Macaca fascicularis: one gene and its partners. The protein of the gene in region 4 purifies or fractionates together with the protein of the main gene of each other region. This does not show direct contact. Links are inferred from orthologs where the notes say so. Each region holds a gene or a part of one and is shown on either strand. Other genes may lie near its edges.

Evidence for each region.
Region 1: the proteins of CDKN1B (region 4) and CCND3 purify together in Homo sapiens (affinity purification with western blotting; 9 studies listed by BioGRID and IntAct, counting the BioPlex papers as one, with this or other methods). This does not show direct contact. The link is inferred for Macaca fascicularis from reciprocal best matches to the Homo sapiens genes CDKN1B and CCND3.
Region 2: the proteins of CDKN1B (region 4) and XPO1 purify together in Homo sapiens (affinity purification with western blotting; 4 studies listed by BioGRID). This does not show direct contact. The link is inferred for Macaca fascicularis from reciprocal best matches to the Homo sapiens genes CDKN1B and XPO1.
Region 3: the proteins of CDKN1B (region 4) and CCNE2 purify together in Homo sapiens (co-immunoprecipitation; 5 studies listed by BioGRID and IntAct, with this or other methods). This does not show direct contact. The link is inferred for Macaca fascicularis from reciprocal best matches to the Homo sapiens genes CDKN1B and CCNE2.
Region 5: the proteins of CDKN1B (region 4) and CCNB2 purify together in Homo sapiens (affinity purification with mass spectrometry; 3 studies listed by BioGRID and IntAct, with this or other methods). This does not show direct contact. The link is inferred for Macaca fascicularis from reciprocal best matches to the Homo sapiens genes CDKN1B and CCNB2.
Region 6: the proteins of CDKN1B (region 4) and SPDYA purify together in Homo sapiens (affinity purification with western blotting; 3 studies listed by BioGRID). This does not show direct contact. The link is inferred for Macaca fascicularis from reciprocal best matches to the Homo sapiens genes CDKN1B and SPDYA.
Region 7: the proteins of CDKN1B (region 4) and CDK6 purify together in Homo sapiens (affinity purification with western blotting; 8 studies listed by BioGRID and IntAct, counting the BioPlex papers as one, with this or other methods). This does not show direct contact. The link is inferred for Macaca fascicularis from reciprocal best matches to the Homo sapiens genes CDKN1B and CDK6.

Annotation. Positions count from the first base shown.
Region 1 is NC_088378.1:129,633,430-129,635,589, forward strand, and holds the end of CCND3 (G1/S-specific cyclin-D3), read left to right. Parts: coding exon 1-66; intron 67-515; coding exon 516-683; coding exon of another isoform or gene 684-889; 3' UTR 890-1,660; downstream 1,661-2,160. UniProt on the Homo sapiens protein: Regulatory component of the cyclin D3-CDK4 (DC) complex that phosphorylates and inhibits members of the retinoblastoma (RB) protein family including RB1 and regulates the cell-cycle during G(1)/S transition.
Region 2 is NC_088387.1:60,385,458-60,389,704, forward strand, and holds the start of XPO1 (exportin-1), read left to right. Parts: upstream 1-1,447; 5' UTR 1,448-2,125; intron 2,126-4,247. UniProt on the Homo sapiens protein: Mediates the nuclear export of cellular proteins (cargos) bearing a leucine-rich nuclear export signal (NES) and of RNAs.
Region 3 is NC_088382.1:104,539,987-104,543,486, reverse strand, and holds part of CCNE2 (G1/S-specific cyclin-E2), read left to right. Parts: intron 1-2,418; coding exon 2,419-2,554; intron 2,555-3,500. UniProt on the Homo sapiens protein: Essential for the control of the cell cycle at the late G1 and early S phase.
Region 4 is NC_088385.1:15,479,739-15,484,013, reverse strand, and holds the start of CDKN1B (cyclin-dependent kinase inhibitor 1B), read right to left. Parts: upstream 2,801-4,275; 5' UTR 2,324-2,800; coding exon 1,825-2,323; intron 1,315-1,824; coding exon 1,193-1,314; 3' UTR 1,185-1,192; intron 1-1,184. UniProt on the Homo sapiens protein: Important regulator of cell cycle progression. Inhibits the kinase activity of CDK2 bound to cyclin A, but has little inhibitory activity on CDK2 bound to SPDYA. Involved in G1 arrest. Potent inhibitor of cyclin E- and cyclin A-CDK2 complexes.
Region 5 is NC_088381.1:35,579,157-35,583,157, forward strand, and holds the start of CCNB2 (G2/mitotic-specific cyclin-B2), read left to right. Parts: upstream 1-1,201; 5' UTR 1,202-1,324; coding exon 1,325-1,348; intron 1,349-3,379; coding exon 3,380-3,508; intron 3,509-3,614; coding exon 3,615-3,728; intron 3,729-4,001. UniProt on the Homo sapiens protein: Essential for the control of the cell cycle at the G2/M (mitosis) transition.
Region 6 is NC_088387.1:93,404,336-93,408,444, reverse strand, and holds the start of SPDYA (speedy protein A), read left to right. Parts: upstream 1-1,309; 5' UTR 1,310-2,778; coding exon 2,779-3,013; intron 3,014-4,109. UniProt on the Homo sapiens protein: Regulates the G1/S phase transition of the cell cycle by binding and activating CDK1 and CDK2.
Region 7 is NC_088377.1:128,738,348-128,741,847, forward strand, and holds part of CDK6 (cyclin-dependent kinase 6), read left to right. Parts: intron 1-770; coding exon 771-917; 3' UTR 918-3,500. UniProt on the Homo sapiens protein: Serine/threonine-protein kinase involved in the control of the cell cycle and differentiation; promotes G1/S transition. Phosphorylates pRB/RB1 and NPM1.

The DNA of each region.
Region 1 (2,160 bases), on a different chromosome or scaffold from region 4:
GGTGCCTGCTCCATGTCCGGGGATGAGCTTACAGAGCTGCTGGCAGGGATCACTGGCACTGAAGTGGTGAGTGCTGGGCAGCTGGGCAGCAGCCTCTCCATTCATATAGTGCTATGCCCTGAGCCTCCAGTAGAGGGAAACCTCCAACCCCAACCTGGTCCTGAGTCCTGGTTTCACAACCTTGGGGCTTTGTGGCTTTTTATCTCCTGCCTTGGTCTGGAGAAGAGCAAGTATCTTGGGTGGGGTGAAGGGCACTGGCCCTAGGGGCTCTTTTCTTGCCAAGTGGTGTGCTGGAGTGGGGGTGGGGGATTCGGTGTCAGATGCAGGGCTGCTCTCACACTCCCTTGCCACATCCTCTTGCTAGTTTCTGAGAACTGAAGAGCGATTCCTGGGGCTGGGCTGTGGCCTAACCTCCCCAGACTTCCCCATGTGTTGGGAGCTGTCCTTCCCCTGCACCTGCTGCCAGATGCTATGGGGGGGAGTGTTCAGTCCTCACTGTTCTCCCATGTTCCCAGGACTGCCTGCGGGCCTGTCAGGAGCAGATCGAAGCTGCACTCAGGGAGAGCCTCAGGGAAGCCGCCCAGACCAGCTCCAGCCCAGCGCCCAAAGCCCCCCGGGGCTCCAGCAGCCAAGGGCCCAGCCAGACCAGCACTCCTACAGATGTCACAGCCATACACCTGTAGCCCTGGAGAGGCCCTCTGGAGTGGCCACTAAGCAGAGGAGGGGCCGCTGCCACCCACCTCCCTGCCTCCAGGAACAAACCACACCACATCTGAAGCCTGAAGGGGCGTCTGTTCCCCCTTCACAAAGCCCAAGGGGTCTGGTCCTACCCATCCCCGCAGTGTGCACTAAGGGGCCTGGCCAGCCACGTCTGCATTTCGGTGGGTAGTCAAGCTCCTCCTCCCTGCATCTGACCAGCAGCGCCTTTCCCAACTCTAGCTGGGGGTGGGGCAGGCTGATGGGACAGAATTGGATACATAACGCCAGCATTCCTTTTGAGCGCCCCCCACCCCTGGGGGCTGTTTTCAACTGCCAAAATGCTCTAGTGCCTTCTAAAGGTGTTGCCCCTTCTAGGGTTATTGCATTTGGATTGGGGTCCCTCTGAAATTTCATGCATGATAGACACATATGAGGGGGAATAGTCTAGATGACTCCTCAGTACTTTGGAGGCCCCTATATAATCCGTGCTGACAGCTGCTCCTAGAGGGAGGGGCCTAGGCCTCAGCCAGAGAAGCTATAAATTCCTCTTTGCTTTGTTTTCTGCTCAGCTTCTGTGTGATTGACAGCTTTGCTGCTGAAGGCTCATTTTAATTTATTAATTGCTTTGAGCACAACTGTAAGAGGACATAACGGGGTCCTGGCCATCCCACAAGTGGTGGTAACCCTGGTGGTTGCTATTTTCCTCCCTTCTGCTACTGGCAAAAGGATCATTGTGGCCGAGGAGCTGCTACAGCCTGGGGTGGGGTCATGCCCTCCTCTCCTGTTGTCCCTCTGCCCCATCCTCCAGCAGAGAAAATGCAACAGGGATGCCCTGGAGGTGGCTGAGCCCCTGTCTAGAGAGGGAGGAAGCCCTGTTGACACAGGTCTTTCCTAAGGCCACAAGGTTTAGGCTGGTGGCCCAGGACCATCATCCTACTGTAATAAAGATTGTGAAATAAAACTGGCTTTGGCTTCTTGGATTGGTGTGTGGGTTAAGTCTATTTCTGGACTGTATGAGGTAAGGAGGCGGAAGCCAGTGGTCTAAAGCAGGGATCATTGAGCCTTTTCTGTAAAGGGCTGGATAGTTAGGCTTTGCGGGCTATATGGTCTCTGACCCAAATATAATCAGTTCTCTTTATAATGTGACCTATGTGTTCCTGAAAATCACTATGCCATGCAATTTGCACAATAAAAACCACAGGTCTCATGGGAAAAATGGGGCTTGAAGCACAACACTCAAATGAGTGACACATGTTAAAAAAAGGATAGCTTGGTTTTTACATGTCAAATGGTTGAGAAATACATAAATATTACAATAAATACGGCCTTTTATCTTGAAGACATGCACTTTGCTTTTGGAAGTGGATGTTGGAAGGGTTGCTCAACACAGGTGGGCAGCTAAGTGAGGTAGCTGGTACATGTTCAAGTGTGAGTTTTGTGTACTAGTTAGGCTTGGTTCAG
Region 2 (4,247 bases), on a different chromosome or scaffold from region 4:
TGCATCTAAACATTGAGTTGTTGGGTTTTTCTTTATTGGAGGGGGAGTTAGAATAAGTGGTGCTTTGAAGTTAGTCATAGTCCATCGTGAACGAACATTTGCTAAAGAAAATTGTATTACTTCAATAAACCATTTATCTACCTCTTGGTGGCACAAAGGGCCTAGTAAATTTTGGTGGGCTATTTGCTCTTAAGCAAAGAACAATCTGTAAAGCTGATTTGGAGGACGCTTGGGAACAAACAAGAGACGCAACCACGTGAAAGACAACGTGCATGTGACTTTCACAGAAAATACTATTTGGTGATGATTTAGTATGTGAAGTGCCGCTAGGGTGAAAGGAAAATCTGAGTGTTGCAGATCAAGGGCACCAGGTGGGACGCAGTTGGCATGCAAGCTCACCCAGCCAAAACATGCGCTGTCAAACCAATAACCTGGGATTACAATGTTTTGGCTTTCAGGAAAGGTTGGTTGTCGAAGCGGCCAAATTCCAGCCTGGGGAGGCAGAGTTGAAATTTTAAGACTTTCCCAAGAAGTATTTCGATATATTTTCCGAGACCCTGAGAAGATCACGAGGCGCCAAGAATGCACGCCCTGCGCCTCACCCCAACCTCTCTCTCAGCTACCTGGCCCAACCCAGGCCTCTAAAATGGATTAGAGGTCTGGGGCCTACAATTGGCCTCGGAAGTGTTCCTTTCCCTCCTTTCTCCACCCCTCCGAGAGTTCAAAACAACTGGGTGTGCCATCCCTTTTCCGAACGCATCCCCCATCTGAGGGGCGGATCCTAATTCCCGCGGGCTCAGGCCCCCGCAGGTTGGCGGGAGCCGGTGGGGGCGGGCCGGCCGAGTCCGGGAAGCAGATCGAACACCGCCGCGCGCCGCGATCAAACTCGCGCCGCCACTAGCTCACGAGCTGCGCCCCACCCTCTCCGTCACCGAAGGCGCCCAGCCAATGAGCGGGCGGGAAAGGCCGGGCCTGCGAACTAGGCACTGGGAGGGTGAGGGCCGCAGGGGGAAGGGAAGTCGAGAGCTCGAGGGCGGGCTGCACTTGATTGACAGCTCGTTCGAACGAATCCTCCACGCGGCTTTCCTTCGCTCTCTTTTCTACTTAGCCCTGCTCTTCGTCCCACCTCCTCCTCCTCCACCCCTCTCCTCTTGCCTTTCGACCCTCCCCACTTCCCCTCCCCCACTCTGCGGGCAAATCGCTGCTGAAAAGAGGCGGGGGCCGAAGCGGCGGGCTCGTGTGGAGCCTTGAGGTGGGATTGACTGGCGCTCAGGCCAATGAGAGATAGGCTCATGGCGCGGCTGTAGCTGGAACTGACCAATAGGAGGGCGGGCTGGGGGCGGAGGCCCAGGTTCCAAACGCTCCGCGGCGCCATGGGCTGAAAACTCAACCGAGATGGAATCTCCCAGTCTGAACCGGTTTCAACCGGTTCCGAGTTTGAGGCACTAGGAGGAGGGGGAGAAGCGGCTGCAGCGGCCGCGGCAGGAGCAGCGGGAGCTACAGCATCAGCAAGAGCAACAGTAGCTACAGCCCCGGCGGCGGTGCCTGTTCCAGTCTTTGCTGCTGCAGTCCGTGCAACCACCCAGAGGGGGAGGGGGGAACCACCAGTCGCTGAGGAGCAAGAGAAGGGGGGAAAGTTTAGGCGAGCCTGGGGGGGGCCCAGCGCCGGAGCCGCGTGAGAGAGGGAGCCGTGTTTTGGTAGGGGGGAGTCGGACTGCAACTGGCAGCAGAGCGTCCCCCCGGCCGTGTGGACTCTACACCCCCTACTCCTGCCGCTTCTGCTGCTGCCTGTGGCTGGAGGGTCCCCCTGGGGCTGAATCTTTGGGACTTGACCCGGTTCCCTCCCCCTTCCCTCACTCCCCAGCCGGGCGGGAGCATTTATTCCCCAGATTAATTCCCCTTCTTTTTTGGGGGGCGGGTGGGTGTGTGTGTTGGGGGGAAGCGTCCCTGAAATAGTAAATATTATTGAGCTCTTTTTGCCCTTTTCCTCTCCGTTTTTTTAATTTCTTTTTTTAAGGTGGGAAAACTGTGAAACCCACCTTGATTCGTCCCCTCTCCCCCTCCCCACCTTCCCTGGCCCTAATCCCCCGACAAGGAAGGAAGGAGCAGTTGGTTCAATCTCTGGGTAAGTCGACTGTGTCTTTGGGGCCGAGGGTCGGGCGGCGGCGCGGCCGGGCGGGAGGAGGCCAGCGTGGGGCGCGGCGGTCGCGGGAAGCGAGCCCAGGAGGCGGCGGGCGGGCCGGGGGCGCGCCGGGCCCACAGCGGAGCCTGCGATTGAATGGAGCCGCTTTTGCCGCTGGGGGATGGAGGCGGGGAGGCGGCCGCGGGAGGGGAGCGCTTGCTGGGTCATTCGCGTGTGCGGGTGGCGGTGGAGGAAGGCGAGGAGCGTGATAGTGAAACGGGGCCCCGCGCGGGGTGGAAGGGCTTCCCCAGCCCCACGGGCTGGGGAGAAGTTGGGGTGATTTCAGGAACATCTCTGTAAATTATTAGGAGTGGAAGTTTCCAGAAATATTTAGTGCAGCAGCATTGAAACGTCCGCCTGCATCACGTGGCCCCCTCGGTGGAGAGCTTGGGATGGGGGAGGGAGGGGCTGCCGACTCCCTGTTCCTCCAGCAAGGAAACTCGAAAGCTCTCCGGTTTTTTGCAGAGTGGCATGTGAAGTAGGAAAGATGAATTTTTCAGGGGCCTGCACATGGGATTCCGTCTTGTAGTTCCTTTTCAGGGGTTTGTGTGTGATAAGTTGGTTAAACCATTTACTGCTGGCCTCGTACAGTGGAGGATGCCCTGATTCTCCTTCATTCCGATGTCTGAGTTTGGGTTGGGTGGGAGGAAGTGGTGTAGTAGAGGAAGCATTCATTACTGGCTCAGCCCGGACCTCCTCTGATCACGCCGAGGCCATGCTGCATAGAGAAAGGGGCGTTGAACTTAAGGCGCCTGGTCTAAATGCCTCCTCCGAGTATGGGCGGGGTGAGTGCGTGCTCCCGTGTGCTATAGTTAGAAGGGCTGCAAATCGGTTCGGGTGGGAAGCCAGGGGAGGGCGGGCCCTAGTGAGGTGTGTTTCTCCTGAATGAAGCAGGCGGTTGCCCACACACCTAAGGAGCAGTCAGTCTTTCGCCTTGTAGCGACTTGTTTTTTTTTTTCACCTAGTGTGAAGTTATTAAGCAACGGTTATGATTTCCTGGGTTTTGGATAGGAACTGGCATTGGGGGTCACTTGTAGAGTCACAACATTATCCATTAAGCTGGATAATCCCTAGTGTATGTTATCCAGTGAGTGGATTTTAGGATTGAAGAGCCCAACGGGAATGAGCGTTCGTGGTTACACCTCTCCCTCTTTGACTTGTTTGCTGTCTGATTGTATATCTTAAGTGTGGGACGCTGCTGTTAGTGGAAAGAATGTTTTGGAAGCGGCTTGGTTTGGGGGACTAAATGTGCTTGGCATTGACCACAAAGCCGCCATTTCTGTACTATGTACAGTTCAAGAATAGGTAGGTCATTTCGAAGACAGCCGCTAGTTCTAAGGATGGCAAACTACTGTATTTAAATCCTTCTATTCTAAATCTCGTTTTTCACATCAGTCTAGTTCGGAGAATTCTATAAGGACAGTGTATTTGAAAGTGAAACTTGGAAGAGTCATTTTCTTAATCCTTTTTTGTTTTGGCATTAAACTATTGTAGGAGTAAATAGGTGAAAAGTTTGTTCGATAATTAACCGAAATATTTGAAAACTTCTGATACGTAGATCTTGATGCTTTGTGGACATTGCTTTTAAGCCTCAAATAATTAAGATTGTTCTGATCTTTTAAATTTTATAGTAGTTGAAGGTGGAGAGTTTACACATTCATTTGTGGAATATATATTTCCTCTCAGTTTTTAGATCTTAAGGGTTTTTTTTGTGGTGTGTAACAAGTATCCTGCTGTTTAAAAAAGTTTGTTTAATGCCTACTACAAAATATTTTGAAGTCTCATCAGTTTTGTCAATAATGGACCAATTCTTGAACTCCTAATTTCTTGAGTTTCACATTATTTTTACATCATGTCAGTCATAGGTGACTCATTTTTTGGAGTTCTAATCTGTTGTAACAGACGTTATATTTAAATGAGACATTTGCATTAAAATTGAAATTGCTGCCATTATTATGGACATTTTTAAGCTGTTATAAAATAGCCAGGAATTAACGCCTTTTTTCCCCCCTGCCAAGCTAGTTTGTCCAAATACAGTGTAAAGAAATTAGCTACTCATTTTCTG
Region 3 (3,500 bases), on a different chromosome or scaffold from region 4:
TTTTTCTAGTCCATGAGTATACTAAAGGTACAGCTTATACAAAACATGTAGTGTATTATGATTGGCCTTAATAAGGAATTTAATGGAATCAGACACTTAAACTCACCAATCCCCCTTTCCCTGGACTCTGTCCCACCTTACCCACCCCATAGGTGATCCTGCTATAGATGATCTATTTAGAGGTGATTGAGACTTCTTGACTGTGATCACATGCTTTACGTATTTAAATTTTTGTATTGCTCTTGAGAAAACTTTTCTTTTTCACTTTTAATTGCATTTATTTTAACGCTGAATTTACTTCTGTGCCGTAAGTTTTTGTTTCTTCTGGGATATCTTTTTCTTCTGGGCAACCTCCTCTTCTGGTGTAAGAACAATTTGTTCCTTTTCACTAAAGATCATTTCGATGCGGCAGGGAGAGATCATGTATGAGTTAATCCATGAGCTCTGTAGGTCCGCTGGCAAATCGTAGGTACTTTGTTCACTTGGAGATGCTCAATGACCGGAGACTCTACATCTAAACTCTTAAGTTCAGCATTACTCTCTGCATTTTTAAGCATGTGCGGCAAACATTCAGCACTCTTTGGACCACCAACCTTGTGTCCAGTCCCACTGCTTGGCCTCAGCACACCTACCAACTCCACCATTGTAATGTCAGAATGGTACATGCTGTTTCTGTAAAGTGACATTTTAAAAATACTTCATGGTGTTTCTTTTTTTTTTTTGGAGACGGAGCTTTGCTGTTGTTGCCCAGGCTGGACTGCAATGGTGTGATCTCGCTACCTCCACCTCCCAGGTTCAAGTGATTCTCCTGCCTCAGCCTCCTGAGTAGCTGGGATTACAGGCATGCCACCACACCCAGCTAATTTTTTGTGTTTTTAGTAGAGATGGCGTTTCACCATGTTGGCCAGGCTGGTCTCAAACTCTTGACCTTAGGTGATCCACCCACCTCGGCCTCCCAAAGTGCAGGGATTACAGGTGTGAGCCACCATGCCTGGCCACTTCGTGGTTTTTCATATATGCATACCCTTGATAGCCTGGGCAGTTTCACGAGTGTTCTTACAGTGAACACAAAGATTTGAACCTCTTAAGTTGCATGATTTTTTGGGGTTTTCCAGGTCAAGTGAATAGCCAACCATTTTCACAGATTACCTCAGACCACTTAGGGGAAAAGCAACATGGTTATCTTTTATCAGCAACCTTTGTAAAGTATAAATAAGTGGGGCCGGGCGCGGTGACTCAAGCCTGTAATCCCAGCACTTTGGGAGGCCGAGACGGGCGGATCACGAGGCCAGGAGATCGAGACCATCCTGGCTAACACGGTGAAACCCCGTCTCTACTAAAAAATACAAAAAACTAGCCGGGCGCGGTGGCAGGCGCCTGTAGTCCCAACTACTCGGGAGGCTGAGGCAGGAGAATGGCGTGAACCCGGGAGGCGGAGCTTGCAGTGAGCTGAGATCCGGCCACTGCACTCCAGCCTGGGCGGCAGAGCGAGACTCCGTCTCAAAAAAAAAAAAAAAAAAAAAAATATAAATAAGTGGGACTAGAAAGCACTCCCTTTGCAAGTTTGGATGATCATAGTCCAGGTTCCCACTGTTATTTCAGGCTTCTATTTATTCATGCAAAGGAAATGGTTTCCAAAAATTAAGGTAGAAGGTTTTTTTCTAATTTACTCTAAGAGCTTCTTCCAAGTTCTAATTAAAAGTTGCATTTCAGGCCGGGCACGGTGGCTCAAGCCTGTAATCCCAGCACTTTGGGAGGCAGATCACAAGGTCAGGAGATCGAGACCATCCTGGCTAATACGTTGAAACCCCGTCTCTACTAAAAAAAAATACAAAAAGCTAGCCGGGTGAGGTGGCAGGCGCCTGTAGTCCCAGCTATTCGGGAGGCTGAGGCAGGAGAATGGCGTAAGCCCGGGAGGCGGAGCTTGCAGTGAGCTGAGATCCAGCCACTGCACTCCAGCCTGGGCAACAGAGCAAGACTCCGTCTCCAAAAAAAAAAAAAAGTTGCATTTCAGTGTCTGAAAGTTGAATTTTATCTATGTGAAACAGAATTTGTATATTACATGGATTGCACAATTTAAATTATGGTTTTTAGCTGGGCATGGTGGGTCACACCTGTAATCCCAGCACTTTTGAGTGGCTGAGGCAGGTGGATCACTTGAGGTCAGGAGTTTGAGACCAGCCCAGCCAACATGGTGAAACCCCATCTCTACTAAAAATACAAAAACTAGCCAGGCTTGGTGGCAGGCACCTATAACTCCCAGATACTTGGGAGGCTGAGGCACAACAATCACTCGAACCCGGGAGGTGGAGATTACAGTGAGCCAAGATTGTGCCGCTGCACTCTAGCCTGGGCCACAGAGTGAGACTCTGTCTCAAAAAAAAAAAAATTTATGTTTTTTTCCCTCTCTTTCCATAGCTGGGGATGTTCAAAAGAAGTCTGGCTAAACATGTTAAAAAAGGAGAGCAGATATGTTCATGAAAAACATCTTGAAGTTCTGCATTCTGACTTGGAACCACAGATGAGGTCCATACTTCTAGACTGGCTTTTAGAGGTATGTTACACCAATACAAATTTCCTTTGTCTCTGTATGATGGAAAATATTTAGCTGTAAATATGCTTTCCATGTACTCTCCAGAGTTTATTGTTCATCCCCAGGAAGCTGTCTTCTTTGAGGTACTTACTGTAGTTGATGGTACCCAAAGTGGAAAGTGACTCTATAAAATGACAAACCTACTACATATAACTAAACTCAATCCAGAATTCCTGTTATCTGTGGGTACTGCTATGTACCAGCCACTTTCTAGGTGCCACAGATACTCAAGGTGAATGGAATGTATAGTTGATTAGGTTTTGAATTATGCTATACAAAGTGAAGAACTAGAACTAGGCTTCAGGGCCCTCTGAAGTCTTTTTCTGTATTAACAAAATCAACTGATGATGAGGAATCCTGATTTCTATATCCTAAACCGTAATGAGATTATGGATACCTGGAAGCTCTAAGCCCTCTATAGTCCAGGTACCTTCTCTTTATTATATTCTTCTATTCTTTTCTGAAATATACCATTAATTTGAAGGAATAGTGATCCTGAAGCCCCTATAGATTTGTGCCAGAATTTTCTCTCTTATTTAGGTCCATTCCCTTTCTCTGGATAATAGCTTTAAAAAAGTCTCTAAAATTATTATTGAGGAAATGATTACTTATGTTGATGACAAACTGATTTTTCCCCCAACTCTTGGATATTTACTCTGTAGTCTGTCTTTAAGACAGAGATGAAGCATTCTAAGGGAAAAAGACCATAGACTTTTTGGAGGAGTAGCACATGGCAGAATAGATCTCAGAAGCTATCAGAACAGTTTTTAAGACTATACCATGTTGTCCTTTTGCATCAGGTCATCTTTTTCCTTATTTTGACTAGAAGGAAAGATTGTATTTTAATTGTGAGCACAAGAAGGCATTGGGTTTTGACTTTTTCTGAGTGTCTAGTGATCATGGAATC
Region 4 (4,275 bases):
ATGGTGCTATAAAATAGAGGTTCTATAGTGCCGTTTTGTATAAGCTCTGAAAAATATAAGATATGTAAAGTCACATATACAATTTAAAGACACAACACACCTGAATCCCACCGTAATCCCTGTTGTTTTAAAATTTTTTATAAATGAGGATTTAAAAAGTTAACATCAATATTAAGATCGCCTCATATGCTAAGCTACGTGTGTGCTTTAGAAAATAAAGAGGTCAGTCTTGGTCTATAAGAAGCTAACAAACTATTAATATATGTAGTTCGATCATTATGAATAGCCAATCCATGTACATTTGGGGACTGAATTATTCAAATTAGCTATTTACAGTGATCAGATTCTTGTGCATGGAAAAATCTCCACTTCCTTTGTGCTGGGCTGACCTGCGGTCACCAGTCTTGATATTTACTACCCATTTCCCCTACAAATATCCAAATCACCCTGTTACGGCACAATTAGCATACACTGGCTGACGTGTTCCTGGATTGCTTACTGACGAGAGTTAATTTAACTTCTGCTTTGCAACTTCAGTGTTACCAGAAATTCTGTAGAAACTTTAGTAATGTTTTTTATCTTTCCATTTTGGTTTTTGCAAATACTGGTTCCTTCTCTCTCCAAACTTAGGAGCAAACAAGGAAAGTGACAGTTTATGACAATGTCAAAGAACACAACATACCACCCACTGACATCTCTAATCCCTTGCATAACCAAAGGTGAGCAATTTCTACCAAACATTCCCCCTTAAAATTGAAACTTAATAATGTACTTGCCATTTTTCCATGTATGGCTCAAAATCTGTTACTGACTCAAGCTGAACCTCTGGGAAATGAATTCTCATGAAGTGGGACTGAGGGAGTACCCCAGTTCTTGTTCGGATGGGCGAAGAACCTATTGTTCCCAACATATTTTAGTGGGACTCACAGGGAAATGACCTTCTTACCCGATGGGGCCTTGGTTACAAGTAGTTGCTCTGGTCTACTGTTTCAAGAGAAAGTATCTCTAGGCATAGAAGAATTACAGTATCCCCAACCTTCCCATTGCTACTTTTTTGACCTCACGAAAGTATAAACAAAACAAAACCCCAAAAGATTGTAATCTGCCAGCAACCAGCAAGATCAGGTATCGTGAGGTCTGATGGCCCCGGGTTTCAGTACGTGCTCCTTTAGTGATCAACCCACCTAGCTGTTTACGTTTGACGTCTTCTGAGGCCAGGCTTCTTGGGTGTCTGCTCCACAGAACCGGCATTTGGGGAACCGTCTGAAACATTTTCTTCTGTTCTGTTGGCTCTTTTGTTTTGAGTGGAAGAATCTAAGAGCAGAGGAAATTTTTAAAAAGAACACACAATCTTTATTAGAAAAAACAATGGCTGGCAGAAGTTGGCCCAATAGTCGCGGGACGAAAAACCCACTCCCTCCACCCACAATCCAGGATCCGTCATCCTCAGTAGCCTTTAAGGACACAAAATGAGGTTGTTTTCAAAAAGAAGAAAGTGCATTCTCCGCCCCAGAGCTCTCTCCCTAGCCAGGAGGCGGACCGTTGATAAACATCCCAACTTTGTCACATACCTAGGGGTTGCTAGTGGGAGGGACGGCCATGTCTTAAGTTAGGGAAATTATCGGATCTTACCATTTCCAGTTTCTGACTTAAAAGTCACAGACAAGCAGTGGGCCAGGTAGCACTGAACACCTAAGACCAATAAAGTTCGCTCTCCCAAAGCTACATCAGAATACGCCGAAAAGCAAGCTAAGGTTAGCACCCTCCAGCAGGCAAAGCGGGGCCCCAGACACAGACTTTCTGTGGTTGGGAAGGGGTCATTACCGTCGGTTGGGAAGGGGTCATTACCGTCGGTTGCAGGTCGCTTCCTTATTCCTGCGCACTGCTCCGCTAACCCGGTCTGGCTGTCCGACGGATCAGTCTTTGGGTCTACCAAATGCGTGTCCTCAGGGTTAGCCGGAGCCCCAATTAAAGGCGCCGCCGGGCGGCTCCCGCTGACATCCTGGCTCTCCTGCGCCGGCACCTTGCAGGCGCCTTTGGGGGCCCGCGGGGGTCTATAGTAGAACTCAGGCAAGCTGCCCTTCTCCACCTCTTGCCACTCGTACTTGCCCTCTAGGGGTCTGTGATTCTGAAAATCGAAATTCCACTTGCGCTGGCTCGCTTCTTCCATGTCTCTGCAGTGCTTCTCCAAGTCCCGGGTTAACTCTTCGTGGTCCACCGGGCCGAAGAGGTTCCTGCAGGCCGAAGGCTTGGGGTGCTCCGCCTGCCTGGCGTCCATCCGCTCTAGGCTAGGGCTCCCGTTAGACACTCGCACGTTTGACATCTTTCTCCCGGGTCTGCACGACCGCCTCTCTCGCACTCTCAAAAAAACAAAACAAAACAAAACCGAACAAAACAAAACGCCCCTACGCAGCCCGAACCCCTCTCGGAAGCCCAGCGACTGGCCTCGGAGCCAAAAGACACAGATCCGGACAAGCCACGGCCCGAACTCTAGGAGCGCGCAGGGGCTGCGGGGAAGCCCCGGCACGGCCGCCGAGAATCTCCGCTGATCAAATGGACCGGCGAGCGAGAGGGCGGGGAGGGGAGGGGTCCAGGCAAGCGGAGAGGGTGGCAAAGCCCGTCCGAGTCCGGGCGGGTACAAGCCCGCAGGTCCCGCAAACCCAGCCGCTCTCCAAACCTTGCCGGCGTCGGAGTCGCGGAACCGTGAGCAAGCGGGGACAGGGGAGGGGGAGAAAAACACCCCGAAAAGACGAGCCCCCTTTTTTTAGTGGCCCAATATGGCGGTGGAAGGGAGGCTGACGAAGAAGAAAATGATTGACACGGCGAGTCTATTTAAACAGAGGAGGAGATCCATTGGTTGCGGCGCCGGGAGCCGCCCCGCCGAGGCTGGCGAGCGCGGCCTTAAGGTGGCCCCGGCTCGGTTCCGCCGCCTCCCCGCGTTCCCGAGCGCGCCGCCTCCCCGAGCGCCGCCGGGAGATTGGCTGGTCGCGTGACTGCTGGAGGGGTAGTGCTGCCAACAAACCTGCTCTGGCTGGCCTCGGAGAAATTAAAATTAAGACAAACAAACTAGCCAAACGGCCGGGAACCTGGGGCGGGGCCTGGGGTTCGGGGCCCGGCGCTGCACTGGCGGGTGCGCAAAGGCGCCTAAGCCCCGACCTCCCTCCCGCTCCTCGCGGGGGAAGCCGGGGCCTGGACCAGAGGACCGCGAAGATCGCCGGCAGCTCGCTTGGAGCCGGGGTGGCGAGCTGCCCCCAGCTCGGCCCTCCCCGATGGCCCCCACCTCGCGGTCTGCGGGGGAGGCCGCGGAGCGTTTGCTGGGGGGCTGGGCGCCCCCCCTGCCGGCGTGCCTTAGCTGGGGGTGGGTGGAGGCGGTGGGCAATGGTTGGCTCAGCCTTAACCCAGAAGTTTGTGCCATCCCTGGGGAGGCTGGGGGCCTAGGAAAGAAGCCAAGGCGAACGTCTTTCTTTCAGAAATTAGCCAGGAGTAGACGCGGCACTTATCATGAACTCAAGCTCTCCCTCAATGAAAATAAGAAAGGAACTCAAGATTAAAAAAAAACTCAAGTAGTCTCTCAAGTCCCTTAATACACTTTGTAGCTGTCTCAGACACATTTAGTTTTGAAAAACGAGGGTACGCCCCTGGCCCAGGATCTTGTTTCCCAAGCACAGTTAAGGCCATGGACATTGGCTGCGTGTGGGAACTCCTCTCTTTCTACTTTTCTGTTCTTTCCCGGGATTGTAGCAGTTTCCTCTACCTGACTCCAGCCGCCAAATACAACAGCTCCTTCCTTCCTCCACCCTTCTCTCTCACCAGATTTCACTGCTCCAACAAACTCAGAACAATATTCAGATGCTAGTGAATGCTTTCAGAGGGCTGAAGAGTGAAAAGACTCCCCTCGGGGTCAAACTCCAGATGATGAAATGATTTTTAAAACCACCACATCTATGTCCTAACGTCCGATGCTAGTATTCCAGCGTTTCTCTTCTCCCTTTTGCAACTGGAAATTTCTCTCTCAGTGTGGGCTTGAGCACCGTGGTGGAAGGTAAAGTAGGACGATGAGCAGGGCTGCCCCAAGAGCTCAGTGGATCTTCAACTGCCTCCCCACCCCCATGCCCACTACCCATCATCTTGGTTTGAGCCAAAGTTAATGCATTTTACTGGAAACCAACCTTCCTTTCTAACCTTAAACAGCAGCAAAGTTTTCTTATGCACCTATGCTACAGATGAACTTCATGTGTCGCTTGTTTTCTTAGCCACATCTTGTTTGTCCACTTT
Region 5 (4,001 bases), on a different chromosome or scaffold from region 4:
GTCTGTACCACCACGCCCAGCTAATTTTTGTATTTTTAATAGAGATGGGTTTTTACCATGTTGGCCAGGCTAATCTTGAACTCCTAACCTCAAGTGATTCATCCGCCTCGGCCTCCCAAAGTGCTGGGATTACAGGTGTGAGCCACTGCGCCCGGCCGTTTTTCTGACTTTTTAATGATGGCCATTTTTGCAGGAGTAACGTGGTATCTCCCTGTGGTATTAACTTGCATTTCTTTGATGATCAGTGATGTTGAGCATTTTTTCATGTATTTGTTGGCCATTTGAATATCTCTTTTGAGAAATATTTATTCATGTCCTTTGCCCATTTTTTGATGGCATTATTTTTTTTTCTTGCTGATTTGAGTTCCTTGTAGATTGTGGATACTTGTCTTTTTTCCGATGCATAGTTTGCAAATATTTTCTCTTATTCTGTGGTTGTCTGTTTCTTTCTTTTGCGGTGCAGAAGCTTTTTAGTTTAATTAGGTCCCATTGATGTATTTTTGTTTTTGCTGCATTTGCTTTTGGGGTCTTAGTCATGAATTCTCTGCTTGGGCTGATTGTTAGACGAATATTTATTGAGCACCAACCATATATGACAAACGATGTACTAGGCGCTGGGAATACAATGGAGAACTTACATGAATCACCAATCACACAAATCTCTTTTTATCTTTTTTTTTTTTTTTTTGCCTTACTTGAGAATTTGGGTTTTTGAGTAAACGCCATTATTCCCTTTTTTTGTTTTAGCACACTTTTATGTCTCAACCACCTAACGCACTGCTGCCCTGAGCAACCCGGAGGGGCCGGTTCCTGCACTCCGGCCAACACAACCTAAACCCCAACACGCCGAGGACGAATAAAGGCCAACCAACTTCCGCCCACCCAGTACAAACGTTGACAGACATTTGTAGATGAGGCCTTGTCAAAATTCAGAGGTATCCTACGTCTGCTTTCCCAATGAGACAGTTCCTTTTTGTTTGTCTCAGAGACTGGGATTTTTTTTTTTTTTTTTTAAAGACTGTAGGCAAAAAAAACACCCCAACCGGCTGTTGGGACAATCAAACGGGTCTAAGAAAATTCAGCCAATGAGAGTGCGAGAGTGCCTCTGTGTTGGCCAATGAGAAGAGCGCGCCGTGCGCAGGGCCGCCCAATGGGGCGCAAGCGACGCGGTATTTGAATCCTGGAACAAGGCTACAGCGTCGAAGATCCCCAGCGCTGCGGGCCCGGAGAGCAGCCCTAACGGCGCCTCGTACGCTAGTGCCCTCCCTTTTCAGTCCGTGTCCCTCCCTGGGCCGGGCTGGCACTCTTGCTTTCCCCGTCCCTCATGGCGCTGCTCCGACGCCCGACGGTGAGTGTGTTCGGCGACCGCTGTCGGAGGCGAGTCCGTTGGCCCCACAGCTCCCCTGTCGCTTCTCTCATTTGCTCCGAGCTTCTCCGTCCCAACTTAGACTGCTTTTCTCTTCTCCGGAGCTCCCCGCTTCGCCCACGTCCCTGGCCCTGCGGCGGGTCGTCTCCTGCCGGCCTCTCCCCGTCTGGATTCCGCTCTCCCTGTGCCCCTCCCTGCTCCGGGGTGGGAGAAGTGTAGGAAAGCGCTTCCGAGATGGCACCTGTCAAGCGAGCCCCCAGAGCACTGGGCCTAGTACTCAGCGAGCGATCCCCAAGTGCTCTTCATTGCCAGAGAGTTATCTCCTTACACGTTCCTGGGATTTCCCTCCCCCTTTCTTAACAACTCCTTGCCAACTAAGGGATCTGTGGTGGGGGCTGGGAGGAGGACTGGAAGGGTTCTGTAGGCAGTAAAGTGTGCGTGTTTCATCAGGCAACTGCCAGGCTGTTTTTCTGATTGTTCACATTTCTTTTTGTATGACTTTCCCATTTATTGCTGCACGCTAAGTCTTCCAGGCTACGTTCACTAATACATGGGTTTGTCCCCTTAAAAAATTTATTTACTCAAATGTAATAGAGATTTTTGAATATAGTTTGGACCAACGTGGCAGACTGAGAGAAAAGGGTCCAAATTCATTTATTTCATCCTTGCAGAGATCAAAGTGTTACGATGTTTTGGGTATTTTTCCTGTGGGCTTGAATTGTGCCGGGACCTACTTTTTTCCTTTGCTGAAAGCTAGAGGGCCCTGACACACCTGAGTTCCATCATCTTGGCTATAAGGTTAGATAAAAGCTGCCAATTTTCCTATCCAGATGAATTTAAATTTAGTCACATTAGCTGGCTTCTATCCATAAGCATTACATTTTCAAACACTTTTTTCAGATTGGTAGTTGCTGCTGGAAAAAATTGAACAGCCCGACTTTTGAGAATCCTAATAGATTGAACATATTCAGCATCTAATTAATATCCTTTTGTGGATCTAAGTCCAACTGACAAGTAATTTTTTATAATAATGTATTCTATAACGTTATTTAATAGTCAGAACCTTTCTGTTCAGGGAAGGCTTGAGTTTCCCTTGTCCCTCTATCCTGGTAGATCCACTCAGACCCCTTGTTGGGAGTTTTATTAGAGTCAGGACCCTGAACTCTGAGGGATAGGACATGCTGGTTTTTTGTTTTTTTCTTTTTTAATGAAATGTTTATCTCTTCTATAATAAGCTTTTTTTGGTATGAATTGCTTTTCCTAGCAAGTTTTATTTCTAAGCACATTATGTCTAAAGCAGGTTAAAGTCAACTGACAATTTTTATTTCATACAATTCCCACCTTCCCTGAGTTTGGGAGCTAAAACTGTATTATCCAAGGAAACTATTTCCATTCTAAATATCCTTAATATAAGAGAAAATCCATTCTATGGCAGCCTCATTTTAAAAAGCTGCACTTCTAAAAGATCATGCATACAGGAGCATTTCTTATTTGTAAAATGGCATAAGAATCAAAGCTAGTTTAGGTTTTAAACATCTGGTTTTTAAACAACCAGACCTATTATTAACTATTAATATTATAGCTTTATAATTTTTCATCTTAATTTACGTATTACCAAGCTCTGTAAAGGAAGGTTTTTAAGTATATGCCTTTAACTTGCAGGGATCTCTACCAAGTGATATGGGTACTATGATAAATAATCATTAAATAGTAATAAGCTTTGAAGTTCTCTTACAGGCCCACTTGAATATTCAGAATAGTTTTGCAAGGTTAGTGGGAGGATCTTTATTACAGATAAAGTAGATGGGTGATTTGCCTAATTTAGAGTGATGTTATTAATCACGAATAGCCTTTTTTTAGACTTCCTGAAATGTACCTTTTCCATCTTGCAAATAGATCTTGACGTATTGTCCTTTCCCAAAGCAATTCTAAATTTGAGTATCTAACATTAGCAAAGTATTTCAAATTCTTTCAAGGTTTCATTACCTTTTTTTTTTTTTTTTTTTTTTTCAGGTGTCCAGTGATTTGGAGAATATTGACACAGGATTTAATTCTAAAGTTAAGAGTCATGTGACTATTAGGCGAACTGTTTTAGAAGAAATTGGAAATAAAGTTACAACCAGAGCAGCACAAGTAGCTAAGGTAACAATGATGAAGACTGAATGTGAATACAGAGGCCGATTCTGTATAGTGCTGAGTCTCACAACACTGGCTGTCTTGCCCTATTCATGTTTCTTTTTCCTTATAGAAAGCTCAGAACACCAAAGTACCAGTTCAACCCACCAAAACAACAAATGTCAACAAACAACTGAAACCTACTGCTTCTGTCAAACCAGTACAGATGGAAATGTTGGCCCCAAAGGTAGGAAGTTCTGAATTTACAAACATATTTAATGAGGTAGCCTGTTTTTAGCCAGACTACAAGGGTGCCGTTATCATTGCTGCACCTTTTAACGAACATTCATAGCTAGAACTCTCCTTTGAAGCAACAGTGTAGGAAATGAGTATATACACCTTTTAAATGATGGTACTTAATTTAACATTATGACCTTGAAGCTGGGCATGGTGGCTTATGCCTGTAATCTCAGCACTTTGAGAGGCTGAGGCAGGAGGGTCACCTGAGGCCAGGAGTTCA
Region 6 (4,109 bases), on a different chromosome or scaffold from region 4:
TCGGCCTTCCAAAGTGCTGGGATTACAGGCATGAGCCACCGCGCCCGGCCAGCTCATATTTTAATTTGATTTTTGTTCTTTTCTTCTTGCTTGCTCTATCAGAACTCTCATTCTCTTAGTATATCTAAACGAAGAGCAAAATTAAAAGATACCCCTAGGTAGAAACTGACCAAGACTAGCATTGATAGCTTCTCTCCTTCAGCTTGTTCTATGCAACTTTCCTGCCAGTGTTTGCTTATTAATGTCAATGAAGCTCCTCTTGGGGTATTTCAGACATTTTCTTCTCATTCAGTTTTCTGAAACTGTATATGAAATATCCCAACACATACATAACATACATAAGGGAATAGTGTAAAGACACCTACTGCGGACATATTTTACCTTTTTGATTGATAGAAAATTTGGATTATATTTTATGACATATCCATGGTTGTTTTAATATAAAAGCACTATTTTAGGTTACGCTATTAGCATTGAGTAAAACTTATCTTCTGGAATATGTGCCACAGTTATTTTGTGTTCTGGTACATTCCACCCAAGTCTAGCCCCAACACTCAAATTTGAAGCAGAATTCTTAGCCACGGTACTATACCACTGATAAGTCCACACTAGAATTTGAGAAGCCTGACTACTGTTTAGTTTCTTCTATCTGGATTTAAGGCTGCTCTTACTTTTAAAAAAAATTTGCAGATGAAGCCTCCAGCTGTCTCCCAGATGAGGTGGGCAGGAAAGAGCAGAAAGTTCTTACTCAAGTCTCAAGACTCAATTTATCACCTATTCCTCTTTCTATGGAGTTTATAACCCGCACCCCAAGTACATAATTGCCTTCAATTTGGCAGGACTTTAGGATCTAGGAAGAAAGATGGGATGAGAGGAGCAATTTGATAAGTATAATTTTCTCTGCCTAGTTCTTCAAAATGTAGCCCTGTACTATCTAATGTGGTAGCCACTGGCCACTTGTGGCTATTAAACACTTGAAACTGAATAATTTAATTTTTACTTTAAAAACTGAAGGAGCATATTTTTCTCTTACAAATTGCTTCATTTTTTAAAATAGGACTGCATTTCACTTTTACTGTTGAAAAATTAGTATCAGAACTGGGATTTGTATGTAAGCATATTCATCTAAAGTAACAACAACAAAAAAAAGAATTGAGATATGCTTTAAGAGGAAAACATGCAGCAGATTTCAAAGACAGAATGTGAACTATCTCATTGGTTTTTATATTGATTACATGTTAAAATGGTATTTTGGACATATTGGGTTACATAAACTTTATTATTAAAAGTTATTTTATCTGTTTTGTAAGGTGGCTCTAAAAATACAAAATTACATATGCGGCTTACATTATATTTTGGACAGTGCTGCTCTAACCTTACTATATTTTCCAGTCCTTCCTTCAGCAGGGAAATTTCTGAGGGTCAGGAAGGGGAATCTATACCTCACTCCTTGAACACCAAGGGAGGCATGGCTGCCTGAGTCACTGTGAGGTTGCATTCAGAGGTTCTCAGTAGGGTCCTAGAGTAGTTTCCTGTGTTGCCTATTCATACCTCCATTTCCCATTACCCTAGAAATATTTGACCACAAAAATAATACTAAGTGTAGTAATTATGTGAACTATTCACCACCAAAGAAGGTGATGATTACATATATTATTAAATATTGATAGATTAACTTTGTCTCAGATTTTATTAGATTATAACAACATACATTCATATACACTTATAATCAGTCACTCAAATAGCTTTGTCATACACTTACAACTTTAAAAATTAGAACAGGCCAGTCAGTCATGGTGGCTCAAGCCTGTAATTCCCGCACTTTGGGAGGCTGAGGCAAGAGGATGGCTTGAGCTCAGCAGTTTGAGACCAGCCTGGGCAACATAGTAAGACCGCATCTCTACAAAAATTTAAAAAATTTGCCAGGTGTGGTGTCATAAACCTGTGGTCCCAGCTACAATAGAGGCTAAGGTGGGAGGATCACTTGAGCCCAGGAGGTCGAGGCTGCAGTGAGCTGTAATCATGCCAGCATACTCCAGTCTGGGTGACCGAGCAAGACCCTGTCTCAAACACACACACATACACGAGAAAAAAAGGAAAACAGAAAAGTAAGTAAAATAAAAATTAGACCAATTTTTGAAAGGCCTTCAAAGCTCATCTGCATTTTGCTAGAATTGCTTTCAGCTTTTCAATAAATACCAATAAATGCTTATTGAATAAGTGAATTTTATAATATATCAAGGAATTTACCAATAAAGAGATATGGGGTTTTGTGTGTGTGTAGGTGTGGGGGGGTGTGCTTTGTAATACAATTGAATTGATATTGATAATAAGTTCTGGAAATAGTTTTCCTTGTTTATAAAAATTTTGAGGTAGCATATAACAACCATATAATAAAATTATGTCAATTCAAGCAGAATAGAAAAAATTAGCAGGAAAAAAGAAGACCACAAATAAATTATGAAGTCAGCATCATTTCTATAATTAACTTTCAAATTTGGTCAAGTTCTGTAGCCAAAGCAAAATGGCATACAGTATCTTATTATTTGGGAAGAGGATGTCTATCTGTTACCCAAAGGAAGCATAGCTTTTCCTAGCACTGAATTTCAAAAGCAATTTTTAATGGGAGTCACTGTCACAAATAACATTTTAATGACAAGTTCAGTAACATTTTATATGACTGCATATGGTAGTATCATCCAGTTGTTTTTATATGAAATGAATGTGTGTGATGAATAATTGTATGTTTTATTTTTACAGGAATATTGGGAAACCAAAATGAGGCACAATCAGATGTGTTGTGAGACACCACCTACTGTTACTGTTTATGTAAAATCAGGGTCAAATAGATCACATCAGCCTAAAAAGCCCATTACTATGAAGCGTCCTATTTTTAAAGATAATTGGCAAACATTTGAAAAAAATACACATAATAACAACAAATCTAAACGCCCCAAAGGACCTTGTCTGGTTATACAGCGTCAGGATATGACTGCTTTCTTTAAATTATTTGGTAGGTTTAAAATATTGTAATAGTGGTAATTATAAAGTACTAAAAACCTAGAATGTAAACATCTAATTGTTTTCATGCTAATCAAAGAGGATATCATTATTTTTGTATTAAATTTCCCATCTCCAACCAAATTTGTTTTTGTTTTACTTAGTCTTTTTTTTTTTTTTCAATGTTGGGTTTTTGTTTGTTTTGTTTCCTTACGGATTAAAAATTCATACTCATCTAGCTTCTAGACTACTTAAATCCAAATGTCAAATGTAAATTCTGGGCAATTCAACTTCATAGCCCATGGCATGAGTTTTGTTTGACCTAAAGTTAAATACTACATAAAGAATCAGGTGAGCTAACTGACCCAGTTTGACTGGGCCTAAGGGGTTTCCCAGGACTTTCTCTGCTAAACCCAAGAAAAATAGGAAGCTTGGTCCCACTAGAGAAGTTTCAGGATAACAGTTTGGGAACATTGTTAAAAATTAACTATGTTTTATCATGTCCATATAATGAAACTGAGTTTAAATTTGTTTAGGTTATGAGACAGTGCTACTTTGCTGATACATTTCTTAACACTGGCAAAAAGAAACTTCTTTATAGTACTGTACTCCTAACTAGGAAAGAGAGGGAATCTTTTTTTTTTTTTTTTTTTTTTTTTTTTTTGGAGGTAGGGTAATAAGGTAAACAGATTAGAAAAAAGGGTAGAATAGATGAGTTCTGAAAAATATCTGGAGTAATGAATCAAGTCAAGTAGAGGCTACAGTCCGGTAGATCTAGGTAACAAGCTTCCTTGTTTCTAGAGGAAGGTCAGGTGCATTAAAGCAAGCTAGTTACGATTTAAAGAAAAGCAAAATGAAAAGATGAAAAAGGAAAAAAATGTAAGGAATATAAGTAGAAAAAGATATAAAGATGCTTCCCCATCAGGATTTAGAATGTTAATAAAAGTTCCCTTTCTTTTCATTAAGAGCAGAACAAAATTATTACCTGCAAACTTTTTTAGTACCAAAACTCATCATGAGAAACGGGAAAATACCTGGCTGTACCATTTTAAGTAACTTAAGAACTATAAATAGAGGCTGGGTGCAGTGGCGCATGCCTGTATTCCCAG
Region 7 (3,500 bases), on a different chromosome or scaffold from region 4:
GCTTGCCACCTGCTAGGCACCCAGCAGGAGGCATTGGTGGAAGGAGAGGTGGAGGATTTGAGTAACAAGATTACCTGAAGTAGGGGTGGAAATGAGACTGAAATTAGGGACACATTCTAATTTAGGTATGGACAGTTTGGGAACAGAGACTGCTGCTACTGCAAATATTTCCCTTTCCCTCCTTTCACCTTCTACCTCAGTAGCCCAGCCAAACTGCCCAAACCACTTGACTAGGACCAGGAGCTTCTTAAGTGCAAGCATCAGCTCATTCACCTTGGTAGCCCTACACTTGAGCTGTCAGCCTGGAACAGAGTTTAGTGACTCACACTGAATCTAAGGGTCCCCTGAGAGAGCTACTGCTAGCCTTGTGGCACCTTGTTATTAATTAGAAGGAAGATATCCCTGCCTCTGAGTGGTGTAACCTTGGGGCAGGGTAAGAAGTTGCGGTGAAGACTCCAACTGTAGCACTAAGTTTGCTAGCACTGGAAGAATTACTAAATAAAGTTATATGCATACTTTAATGGCTTACAGAGAAATCCTGGGCAGGAAACAGCCCATAGGCACCCAAAAGGGTCTTCTCCTGAGGGGCATTTTATACATTAGGGATATATGTGAGTACTGTCTCCATATTATTTAGTGTCCCTTTAAATAAATACTCATTCCCATTCTAGATGTGCTTAACATGACAGTGAATAAAGGGATAACTCTGTAAGTACATTATCTACATTGATGTGTTGTATATCAACCAATTATTTTTTTCTTTATTACAGAAGTGTTTGACATTTAACCCAGCCAAAAGAATATCAGCCTACAGTGCCCTGTCTCACCCATACTTCCAGGACCTGGAGAGGTGCAAAGAAAACCTGGATTCCCACCTGCCGCCCAGCCAGAACACCTCGGAGCTGAATACAGCCTGAGGCCTCAGCAGCTGCCTTAAGCTGATCCTGCGGAGAACACCCTTGGTGGCTCAAGGGTCCCCCTTAGCAAGCCCTGCAGAGCTGTGGAGGATTGCCTGTCTGGAGGCCTTCCAGCTGCCGTCTTCTGGACAGGCTCTGCTTCTCCAAGGAAACCGCCAGTTTACTGTTTTGAAATCAATGCAAGAGTGATTGCAGCTTTATGTTCGTTTGTTTGTTTGTTTGTCTGTTTGTTTCAAGAACCTGGAAAAATTCCAGAAGAAGAGAAGCTGCTGACCAATTGTGCTGCCATTTCATTTTTCTAACCTTGAATGCTGCCAGTGTGGAGTGGGTAATCCAGGCACAGCTGAGTTATGATGTAATCTCTCTGCAGCTGCCGGGCCTGATTTGGTACTTTTGAGTATGTGTGCGTGTGTGTGTGTGTGTGTGTGTGTGTGAGAGAGAGATTCTGTGATCTCTTAAAGTGTTACTTTTTGTAAACGGCAAGAACGATTCAGTTTTAAAGACTCAAGGTGATCGATAAATAACAGGCATTTGTTCACTGAAGGTGATCCACCAAAATGGTCTTCTCAAATTAGACAGTTAACCCTAGAAAGTTAACCCCATGTCCTCAGCATTTCTTTTCTGGCCAAAAGCAGTAAATTTGCTAGCAGTAAAAGGTGAAGTTTTATACACACAGCAAAAAGGAGAAAAAAATTCTAGTATATTTTAAGAGATGTGCATGCATTCTATTTAGTCTTCAAAACGCTGAATTTACTTGTTGTAAGTCTATTTTAACCTGTATGATATCATGCTTTATCATTTCTTTTGGAAAATACCCTGTAAGCTTTTTATTACTTGCCATAGATTTAGGGAGTGTATCTCAGATAGATTTAAAAAAAAAAAATAGAAAGCCTTTATTTCCTGGTTTGAAATTCCTTTATTCCCTTTTTTTTTGTTGTTGTTGTTGTTGTTTGTTGTTACTTCGTTTTTGTTTTTAGGAATTTATCAGAAACTCTTTCCTGTTTTGGTTTGGAGAGTAGTTCTCTCTCTAACTAGAGACAGGAGTGGCCTTGAAATTTTCCTCATCTATTACACTGTATTTTCTGCCACACACTGCCTTGTTGGCAAAGTATCCATCTTGTCTATCTCCCAGCACTTCTGAAATATATTGCTACCATTGTATAACTAATAACAGATTGCTTAAGCTTTTCCCATGCACCACCTGTTTGCTTGCTTTCAATGAACCTTTCATAAATTCGCAGTCTCAGATTATGGTTTATGGCCTCAATTCTGCAAACCTAACAGGGTCCCATATGTTCTCACTCTAATGCAGTCCTTCTACCTGGTGTTCACTTTTGTTACCTAAATAATGAGTAGGATCTTGTTTTGTTTTATCACCAGCACACAGATTGCTATAAACTATTGCTTTGTGTTTTACATTTTTATAGAAGATATTGTCAGTGTCTTTATCTGAGGGTATGTCTTTAGCTATGTTTTAGGGCTATACATTTACTCTATCAAATGATCTTTTCTCCATCCCCCAGGCTGTGCTTGTTTCTAGTGCCTTGTGCTCACTCCTGCTCTCTACAGAGCCAGCCTGGCCTGGGCATTGTAAACAGCTTTTCCTTTTTCTCTTACTGTTTTCTCTACAGTCCTTTATATTTCATACCATCTCTGCCTTATAAGTGGTTTAGTGCTCAGTTGGCTGTAGTAACCAGAGGACACAGAAAGTATCTTTTGGAAAGTTTAGCCACCTGTGCTTTCTGACTCATAGTGCATGCAACAGTTAGATCATGCAACAGTTAGATCATGTTTAGAGTTAGGATTTTCAAAGAATGGAGGTTGCTGCACTCAGAAAATAATTCAGATGATGTTTATGCATTATCAAGTTGTACTGAATTCTTTGCAGCTTATTATGATATATGACTATCTTGAACAAGAGAAGAAACTAGGAGATGTTTCTCCTGAAGAGCTTTTGGGGTTGGGAACTATTCTTTTTTAATTGCTGTACTAAACATTGTTCTAATTCAGTAGCTTGAGGAACAGGAACATTGTTTTCTAGAGCAAGATAATAAAGAAGATGGGCCATACGAATGTTTTCTACTTTCCTTGTGACAACATTGATTACGTGTTGTCAGTACTATAAATGCTTGAGATATAATGAATCCATAGCATTCAAGGTCAGGTCTACTCAAAGTCTCACATAGAAAAGTGAGTTCTGCCTTTCCTTTGATCAAGGGTCAAAATACAAAGACATTTTTGCTGGGGCCTAGAAATTGAGTTTAAAAACTCATGCACTGATTCATCATGAGCTTTTTGGTTAGTATTCATGGCTAGAGTGAACATAACTTTAGTTTTTGCTGTTGTAAAACTGTTTTCATAAGTTCACTCAAGAAAAATGCAGCTTTTCTGAACTGGAATTTTTCAGCATTCTTTAGAATTTTAAATGAGTAGAGAGCTCAACTTTTATTTCTAGCATGTGCTTTTGACTCATTTCTAGGCAGTGCTTGTAAAGAAAAATTGAAGCACAAACATTCTGGCATTCAATCGTTGGCAAATTATCTTCTGATGACACAGAATGAAAGGACATCTCAGCCTCTCTGA